Linked DNA regions of Saccharomyces cerevisiae S288C. The gene in region 2 interacts genetically with the main gene of each other region. Each region holds a gene or a part of one and is shown on either strand. Other genes may lie near its edges.

What was found. A genetic interaction does not mean that the proteins touch.
Region 1: mutations in PET122 (region 2) and PGM2 together harm fitness more than expected from each alone (negative genetic interaction), as found in Saccharomyces cerevisiae (2 studies listed by BioGRID).

The regions. Positions count from the first base shown.
Region 1 is NC_001145.3:474,873-480,437, forward strand, and holds PGM2 (phosphoglucomutase PGM2), read right to left. Parts: upstream 2,735-5,565; coding exon 1,025-2,734; downstream 1-1,024. Other genes in the region: putative protein kinase YPK2, read right to left, coding at 1-581; YMR105W-A (uncharacterized protein), read left to right, coding at 3,192-3,386; ATP-dependent DNA helicase YKU80, read right to left, coding at 3,429-5,318. UniProt on the Saccharomyces cerevisiae protein: Major phosphoglucomutase isozyme that catalyzes the reversible isomerization of alpha-D-glucose 1-phosphate to alpha-D-glucose 6-phosphate. The mechanism proceeds via the intermediate compound alpha-D-glucose 1,6-bisphosphate.
Region 2 is NC_001137.3:472,675-477,284, reverse strand, and holds PET122 (Pet122p), read left to right. Parts: upstream 1-2,479; coding exon 2,480-3,244; downstream 3,245-4,610. Other genes in the region: GTPase-activating protein BEM2, read left to right, coding at 1-940; membrane insertase OXA1, read right to left, coding at 1,057-2,265; YER152C (2-aminoadipate transaminase), read left to right, coding at 3,297-4,610. UniProt on the Saccharomyces cerevisiae protein: Required for expression of the mitochondrial gene for cytochrome c oxidase subunit 3 (COX3). PET122 seems to work by directly interacting with the small ribosomal subunit to promote translation initiation on the COX3 mRNA.

The DNA of each region.
Region 1 (5,565 bases), on a different chromosome or scaffold from region 2:
GAGGAAGGAATGAATTTAGTGGCAAAAGCTCTATCTATCAAGCCTTCCCCTGCTGAATCTTGATCCACTCTCTTGTATCGTGGTAGCTGCCGCATTATGGCTGCAACTTCGGAAGCGTCATTGGATGATGAAGTAAGGATGCCGGAACTTAGTAGTTTTTGTAAAATAGTAGAGTTAGAGGTGATAGGGAAGGGAAGAGTAAAATCTTTACCAGAATACACCTTCACTGTCATTAGTCCGGATTCCGAACTCGGTCCCTGCGTCTCAGTAGACGACTGACTAGCTTTCCTTTCGGAAGCCTTAGAATTGTCATTTCCTATCCCCGATGGATTCTTGAAGGATGCATCATTACGTAATTTTGGAGAACTTAAGGAACTTGGGAGAGTCTCATTTGTATTGATCTTTCTTATATGGTGTTCGTGTTCATGATTATGATTCTTCGGGCTACCATCGTGATGTTTTTCTCCATGGTGGAAATGAAACAGGCCATTACCCCACGATTTTTCATTTTCATCTTCACTACTCCCATCATCTTCTTTGGACCTTCCTAACTTAAACTTGGATATTCGCCAGGAATGCATGTTACTATATGTATATTTGTATACGCGATAATTTGACCCAGTTGAACAATTCTGGTTTAGGAGCACTTTGGCTGAATTTTATCATTTTATTTATAAATCTAAGGATGACGGCCATTTTACAGATTTCTCGAGGGAAATATAATAAAAAACTCGGGGTAGGTAATCTGAATTCGGGGATACGCTAATTTGGGAAAAATTCGTGAATTAGATATAATTAGAAACAGCACTTATGAAGAAGATACTGCGATTAACCAAAATATTCTCCTCCTTATGAAAAAAAAAAAAAAAAGACTCAGAAACCTATGCAATCGTTTGCTAATATGTCGAAATATGGATCTATTAAGTATATAAAGTATGTGTTCAAAAAATTGAAATTTTCTTCTTTACCGTTAATATTCATTGAAAAAGGTGAAAATCATTAAGCCATTAGTAAATCATTCGTTTTAAGTACGAACCGTTGGTTCTTCAGTTCCTAAAACTTGTTTAAAGTTCAAGAACTTGATGACCGAGTTAATAATTGGCTTCAAGTATTCTTCAGCTGTCTTTTGGTATTGTGATTTATCATCGCAGTATTTTTCAATGTACAATCTAATGGTAGCACCTGAAGAACCTGTACCTGACAATCTTAGAACGAATCTTGCACCATTGGAAAGCTTGACATATAAACCTTGATGGTCAGAAACAGAACCGTCCAAATCTGTGTATGAAAAATCACCACAATCGGTGACCTTAAGAGACTCATCGGCTGGGAAGGCGGAATTAACAACACCCGATTTGGTAACATATGCTCTCAATTGATCGACAATCTTGTTAGCTTTTTCTGTTTCAACTTTTTCAAAATCATAACGAGTGAAGAAAGTACGGCCGTACTTTGCCCAGAATTCATTCTGTATCGTCTTAATAGAAGCTTCGTTCTCCGGATGATGCTTGTTGTAAATGGCCAAGATGTTCAACCACGCCATAATGGCCCAAACACCGTCCTTTTCCCTTACGTGGTTGGAACCAGTACCAAACGATTCTTCACCACAAATAGATAATTTTTTAGCGTCGAACAAAGCACAGAAAAATTTCCAGCCAGTTGGGACCTCATAACAGTTTAGACCATGGGCCTTGGCAACACGGTCTATGGCTCCTGAGGTAGGGAATGAACGGGCCAGACCATATATACCTTGCTTGGCGAAATATGGGATTTCAGCTGCATATTCGGCAATAATTGCGACGGAGTCACCTGGAGAAACGAAAGATGGGCCGTAACCGTAAATCATATTTCTATCACCATCACCATCGGATGCAGCACCAAACTCAATCTTTTCACGATCTACTCTTTTCACTAACGAACTGGCATAAGTTAAGTTTGGATCTGGATGCATACCACCAAAATCCGGAGAAGGATGCCAGTTTTGTAAAACCTCATCCGCCGGTAAACCAAATTCATCAACGAAAATAGCCTTACCGTATGGTCCAGTTACACCGTTCATACTGTCAAACAGTAACTTCCAATTCTTAGTAGAACGTTGATTATCGATGAATTTCTTGATTAAGTCGAAATCGAAGATTTCCTTCAAGAAGTTGACATAATCTTTTGTAATATCGATAATGTCAACGAGTAATGGACCGTATTTCTTGTTCTTGCCTATCGTACCCAAGTCTAGTTCTGGGAAGTCTTTGATAATCTTATAGCTGGTAAGCTTTTTGGAAATCTCCCAAATAGCATTTGTGACGGATTCAGGAGCAGGACCCCCATTGGATAAGTTATACTTAATACCCATGTCATTTTCTGGACCACCTGGATTATGTGAGGCGGTTAAGATAATACCACCAGTACATTTTTCCTCGTAGGTTCTCATGATGTGAGAAGCGGCTGGCGTAGACAGAAGACCATGCTGGCCAATAACTAACTTTTTAATACCGTTGGCAGCACCGATAGCGGCAATCTTATGAAGAATGACATCATTGTAGTAACGCCCATCACCACCGACAACAAGAGTGGCACCTTTAGAACCCTCTGGAATAGCTTCCATGATCGATTGAATGAAATTTTCTGTGTAGTTAGGTTCGTCTTTAAACACCTTTGTCTTCTTACGCAAACCAGAGGTACCAGGCTTTTGGTCTTCATATGGTTTGGTGGGAACCGTTTCAATTTGAAATGACATGTTATGTTAACTTTTGTTACTTTTTTTACTGAGAAAGATTGGTTGATCTTCTTCTTATTATCCTATTGTTCAAGCAACGCTGAAGAAAGACATGGAACACTATCTTCGAAAATGAAACAATATTAACGGTACCTTTTTATATTTCCCACATTGTTCGGGCGGCAGTCATCCAGATTCTGAAAGAATCAACTATTTCTTTTACACTTTTCAACCCCTGTTTGTTCCTGGAACTGCACATAACAAAAGTATAACGTCCCCTTTCACGTAAGTTCCCCACGAAAAAAGTAGTGCGCGACACCACCCCTTTTCGTGAGCTCCGCGCTTCTCTTCACCGAGCCTAAGTTGGGCCTCTCCCCCCTAGAAAGAACAAGTTGGCCCTGTTGTCCTTAGCTCGCAAGCTCAGGGGCAGCAGCGTGTGTTGAGATTAGAGAACCGCTCGACCTCAACGGATGATAGTATGATTTTAGTACATACAGGGAACGTCCTCTACCCACGTTTTATTGTTGTTGCATTTACTTTTGAACAGCGACAGGGGGGAAGGTGTAAAGGAGGAAAAGCAACCTGCATGGCTAGTGTTCAAAGTTACAAGGTAACAATGCAAATCAGTAGTATGACAATTATTTACCCGCTATTTATTTTTTTTTCTCTTTAACTGTGGTGACGAAAACATAACTCAAAGGATGTTAGACCTTTTTTAATTATTGCTATTGTTTGGACTTCCCCTACTGTGTTGTTCACCGCGCTTCAATAGCGTTTCTAGGTCCGGGATCTTTTCCCTCTCAAGCTCAGTTTTTAGTTCGGAGTCGAGTTTTAATTTGTCTACTTTCTTGATGCCGAGCACTTCAACCAATTTTGTGCTATCAAATTTCTTGTGCGTGTAAGGACTTATTTTGTTTTTCAATGAGTCAGGAAGCTCTGGGATTTCAAATTCCCTGGAATCATTGATCATCAGTTGGTGAATCCATTCCAGTAGCACCTGTTGTTGCCTGTAGACAAAAACCGTGGGTATTCTAAGAGGATCCTTTTTGTTTTCCTCTTGGTCTTTATTTAAAGAGGGAAGTGGGAGAGTGGTGTCTGTTGTTACTTCGCCTATGGGTTGATAGTAGTTGCCTAACGGAATCTCTGGTAGCTCATCTGTATCCATTGAATCTACAAATTGTTCCATAAGCTCATCGATTTGATGCCCGTCTGTTTCCTTTTTCAGCGGTACCCCGGATGTAGTTGTTCGATCCAGAAGTTTTGGAAAATCAGTTACCCTCTCGTCTTCCGCGAATGGTAATCTACACAAGGTAAGGCTCTTAACAAACTTCTTCTCGGAATTAATGTTACTGTGCTCAATTAGAACGGGACACAATGCACACATATTCACTTCACTGTCTTTCTTGCTCACATATCTTGCAACAGCAATTTTTCTATTTTCTAGCATAACATCCACTAGAGCACTGAAAGCCATTAAGTCAGATTGACAGCCAAGTCTTGTGTCGGCGGTAATGAAGGAGGATTCCGACGTCAAAAAGTACCTTGGAAGAGCTTCTCTATTCAAAAATCCTCTTAAATCCAAGCCTGGAAAAGATTCATATACAGTTTGATCGACTAGAACGGACGGTAGCACTACGTAGTCTGCACCATAACGGTATGCCTTCGTTACAGAGTCTTTGGAGATGGTCACGGGAATGTATGACGATCCAGACTGGTCATCTTCACTGACATTTTTCTTATTTCCTTCGTTGTGAATTTCATATTCGATTATGGATTTGACCCCCACATACCTTTCTTTCTTCTGGGAGTCTTCCACCTCAACAGCGGTTTTCCTATTTAAGCCTGAAACTGCTTTCGTAGCAGGAAAAGCCTCTACCTTGATACATAAGCAATTTTCATCTTGCATGCTGCCGCTAGGATTCGATGTTTGTGTTGATAATATATCTGCCCCTAACCTAAGCTCGCCTGAGAATACTCTTACTGGCTTAACGACAGATGTTGCTGGGGAAGTGATTTCAACAAGAAGTTCATTCATATTGTAGATTCTTGAATTCGGTATCGCTTCGACCAACTTTAACCAGTTCGATTTTTTCCTCTCCTCTTGAGTGTCTTTACCGCAATCAATCAAAATGATTCTTGTGCTTAATTCTTCCGTTAGCAGGTCTATTTCTTCATCAGTAATATCCAGATCATCTAAATTGTCTGTAAATACAACAATTTGTTTTAGAATTTTTCTTGCTTGAAATTGTTGTTTAATATCTAATGAGACGACCAACAGACATTGAATCATTGATTGTAAGCCTTCATTCGAACTATCATGACTGTGCTGATCACAATATTGTTTCAGGCGTTTTATAAACCCAATGGTGGCCGTCGTGGTAACAGGAGCCAAAAAGGATTGTATTTGGAACACATTTGGTATTTCCTGGGAATTCTCAGATACGGGACAATTAGCGAGATAACAGCTTATCCAATCTGTTTTTCTACTTTTTTTAGATTTGTTTAATAGAGTGTACTCTAGATATGCCATAGATTTGGAAACATTATTATTTTTCATCATTGATGGTGAAACATCCACGATGAAAGTTGTTGACTCACTTGACATTATTATGGTGTGAGATATATTATTTGTGCATATGTCCTGCACTCTCGTTAATTAGGTTTTCTTCTCTTGATGATGCCCTTTTTTTTTATTCATTTTTTTGCATGACAACAAATGCCCTGACGGACATGCGGTAATCTAGTTGAAAAAATAGTCAAATTGTGTCGACACTGTAAAAAGGTACTTCCGCTAATAGACTACAAACATTACTCCAAGACCAGAAACAGAAATACGTTACAATAGTGTTGTC
Region 2 (4,610 bases):
ACTCAACAGTATATTATCGCAAGAAGTTTCAAGTAACAAATCCATTCTACCAAGTATACTTCCAGAGGTTGATTCCATGCAACTACACGACTTAAAACCTAGTTATAGTTTGAAGACCTTTGAAATCAAGTCAATAATGGAAATAATCAATCACAGAAACATTCCGGCTTACTACTATGCGTTCAAGATAGTTATGCAAAATGGCCATGAATATCTGATTCAAACGGCTAGTTCTAGTGACCTCACAGAATGGATAAAAATGATCAAGGCTTCCAAGAGATTTTCATTCCATTCGAAAAAATATAAAGGTAAAACTCATAATAAGATATTTGGGGTACCATTAGAAGACGTTTGTGAAAGAGAGAATACCTTGATACCTACAATTGTTGTGAAATTGCTGGAAGAGATTGAGCTGCGTGGGCTAGATGAAGTGGGATTGTACAGAATTCCTGGTTCCATCGGCAGTATAAATGCACTAAAGAACGCATTTGACGAAGAAGGTGCAACAGATAATTCCTTTACATTAGAGGACGATAGATGGTTTGAAGTGAATGCGATCGCAGGCTGTTTTAAGATGTATTTAAGAGAGTTACCAGATTCTTTATTTTCTCATGCTATGGTGAACGACTTTACCGATTTGGCGATTAAGTATAAAGCACATGCAATGGTAAATGAAGAATACAAGAGAATGATGAATGAGTTACTCCAAAAGTTACCTACATGCTATTACCAAACTTTGAAAAGAATTGTATTTCATTTGAATAAAGTACATCAGCATGTTGTAAATAATAAAATGGACGCATCAAACTTGGCTATTGTATTTTCCATGAGTTTTATAAACCAAGAAGACTTAGCCAACAGCATGGGGTCCAGATTAGGTGCAGTTCAGACAATCCTGCAAGATTTTATTAAGAATCCAAATGATTATTTCAAGCAATAAACAATTTTCGTGGTAAATGTATACAATCCACTGCTGAGAGAGAAAAAATTTGGTCCCGCCTATCGAGGGTTTGAGTTTTATATTTTTATATTTACAGAGAGATATAGAGCCTTTATTCATTTTTTGTTATTAATGAAGTTTGATTTGTGAACAATTTTGATTTTGGAATTCTGCCTCTTCTCCTTGAAGCTTTCTTGTAACTTCTTCTCATTATCTTGCATCAATTGCCTTCTTTCCGCCTGATCTCTTGCCTTTTGAATGTTATGTTTTAATGATTGGAAGATGCCCATGTTCTCTGTGGGGGAAGCGCCAGCGATAGGAGTCCTTGGTTTAGCTACTTCTGTTATCTTCAGTTTCGAACGAACCCATTTGTTTCTCAAAATCATTGTCTGTAGGACGGAGAAGGCACCATTAAAGGCAAAGTAGAGGACCACAGCGGACGATAAGTTCATTGTGGCCGGTATAGAAATGATCGGTAGAATAGTGAAAAGACGCTTCATGGGAGAACTGAATTGTTGAGCACCAGTCTCACCCCCCAGCCTTGTAAATGAGATGAACACAGCGGCAGTGATTACTTGCAAACCTAAGTAAGGGTCTGCTTGAGTCAAGTCTGTAAACCAAGCGACACCTTGATTAGCGAACCCATCTACTGGGTAGTTAGCCATGTGTCTCAATGCGTTGAAAAACCCAAGGGCGATTGGAATTTGTAGCATGGGTGCGGCCAGCCATCTGTTCTTAATGCCGTGCGAGGAGAGCAGTTTTTTCCTTTGCATGGCGACTAGCTGACCTTGTTGCAAATCTGTAGTGGACATTAGCTTATTATTCAAGGCGTCCAGCTCGGGCTTGATATGGGAATTTCTAGCAACAGTATCAGAGGACTTGACATAGAGGGGAAACATCAGGCATCGAATGAGGATGGTGGTGGCCGCGATAGTTCCCCACCAAGGCAACCCAGAGTAAACATGAACGGCCTCCAAGACGTGTTGGATAATGTCCGAGGGCCAGTACCAGGTTTGGGCCAGGCCAATGCTATTTAAGTACCCTATATGGGAGGACAACTCGCCCACTGTTTGGGTCGTGTTAGCGATAAGGTCCGAAGTAGAAGCGGAAAGAGAAGGAGCTGAAGAGGTTAATTCATCGATGGAAGGCAACTGGGTTTGGATTTCCGAGACATCGTTGGCATTTGGGCCCGTCGAATTAAATCTTTTGGCCTGAAAAGAGATCCATGACGGATGGGGCCGGGGCAATACTATGGTTCGAGCGGTGGCCAGTCTGGAAGAGGCAGCAAACCTTGACGTGACGAGTCGAGAGGTGAGTTTGAACATCGTCGGGGAGGTTATTCTGTGGCTCCGCTTGTACGTGAACAGATACGTATAGAGGGCGAGCCACTGGTTAAATTTTTCATGGCTCGGATTACTTCCGTACTGCTGGCTAAAATCGAAATCTCGGCCTGCTGAGAGTGTTTTGAGCAATCAAGGGAACATCTGAACGTGGAAGAGCAGACGAGGCATTAGCTCGAACATAAGAACGGAACACGTCATGTTGACTATCACGAAAAGACTGGTGACCACCGATGTGCGGTCGCGAATACTGTTAAGCAGTTTAAACGGGAAAATGTCCGATGCACTGGCGCTGCTGCGTCAGCAGCAGCAGACCAGCGTGGATGTGGAGCTGCTGCACACGATGCTAGCGCGAGCCGCTGCGCTTGCCCATGCCGACACTATAGCATACATGTGGTATCAGCATGTGATGCCACGCCGGTTGCCAGTAGAGGGCCGCCTGCTATGTGAAATGGCTGGCGTAGCATTGTACCAGGACAGGCTCTTCTTACCCGCGCAGTTCCTCCAGCACTACCAGGCGATGAATCGCGATCGTCGCACCAGCCCAGAAGATGAACTGATTGAGTATGAGCTTAGACGGATTAAAGTCGAAGCGTTTGCGCGTGGCACAATGCACTCCACGGCGCTCAGGGAAAAGTGGAAGGTATTCTTGCAGGAGATGGATACGCTACCAGGGCAGCCGCCATTAAGGCTGCGCGACTTCCCGCAAATGACCAAGGCTATGGGCATAGCATTGATGCAGCAAGATGAGCAAGCAGCTGCCCTGGCGTTGTTTGGACGACAGCCCCTAGTGATAAAGAACGAATGGTCACTACCGCTACTACTGGCTGGTGTCCTTTGGCATGTTCCCGGCCCAGCGCAGGCGCGACGTGTGCTGGCGGAGTTCCGTCAAAGTTATCGCGGGCTGCCGCTGCTGGATGCCGAACTAGTGATAAAGAGAAGAGGATTTGAAATCAACACATAAATCTGGGTGGAGCATCGCTGTAACAAGGAACAACGCGTGCTAGCAAGCGGTAATGAAATACAAGGAAATCAATTTCTTCAAGGGCCATCCGAGCTCGAGGTTGCTGCCTCGAGAAGCAGTAATTCAAGCGACTGCGGCTATATTGGGGCCCGAGACCAGGGAGTACGATAACGACCCCTATAACAGGCATCCGCTGACGTACGGTTCGGACGAAGGTGCCCTGTGGGTGCGAGAGCAGATTTGTACGTTTCTGAATGATCAGCTGTTTAAGTTCGAAAATGGGGCTCGGAGCAGGACACGGGCAGACTATTTGAATCTGAATAGCGGCGCTTCGTATGGCATGCTGAACATCCTTCTGCAAACAACCTTGCCACATAACGGGTATACCAGGCAGGCGTTCATCATCACGCCAACATATTTCTTGATCAACAATTGCTTCACAGATGCGGGATTCAAGGGGAAAATGACCGCCATCAACGAGCAGGGCCACGACTCGATTGATTTCGAGTCGTTGATTTCTGCCCTTGAGCAGCACGAGGCGGAGCCGCAGCCCCATAGTACCACAGAGATGATTCAGGGGCCAAAGTTGACCAAGAAGGTCTACAGGTACGTTATGTACTGCATCCCGACGTTTGCAAACCCATCGGGAAACACATACTCGCTTGAGACCAGACGCAGACTTATCGACATCGCTCGGAAGTACGACATGCTGATAATCACTGATGACGTGTACGATATTCTAGATTACACGACGCCCTCAGATGAGCTGCCCTCTCCGCCCCTAAGGATGGTGCACATAGACAGAAGTACAGCGCCCTCCGGTGAGGACTCGTTCGGGAATACAGTGTCCAACGCAACTTTCTCCAAGCTGATCGCCCCTGGGCTCAGATTTGGATACCATGAGTCAATCAACGCGAATCTCGCCAGACAGCTATCTAAAGGTGGTGCAAACGTCTCTGGCGGAACTCCCTCACAACTGAACTCCATGATCGTGGGTGAGATGCTGCGTAGTGGTGCCGCCCAGAGATGCATTGCACATCTGAGATCCGTATACTCCGAGAGGGCCACTGTCTTGACCTCGGCGCTTAAGAAATACATGCCCCTAGGAACCGAGATTATGCCATTGAAGGGCGGCTATTTTACTTGGATCACTCTCCCACCAGCGTACAATGCCATGGAGATATCCACTATTCTTGCCAAGAAATTTAATGTCATCCTTGCCGACGGCTCCAATTTCGAGGTCATCGGCGATGAGAAAAACTGGGGTCAGTCATGCTTTAGGCTTTCTATTAGTTTCTTAGAAGTTGATGATATCGACAGGGGCATTGAGCTGTTTGGTGCTGTTTGCAAATCTCATGCGATCACC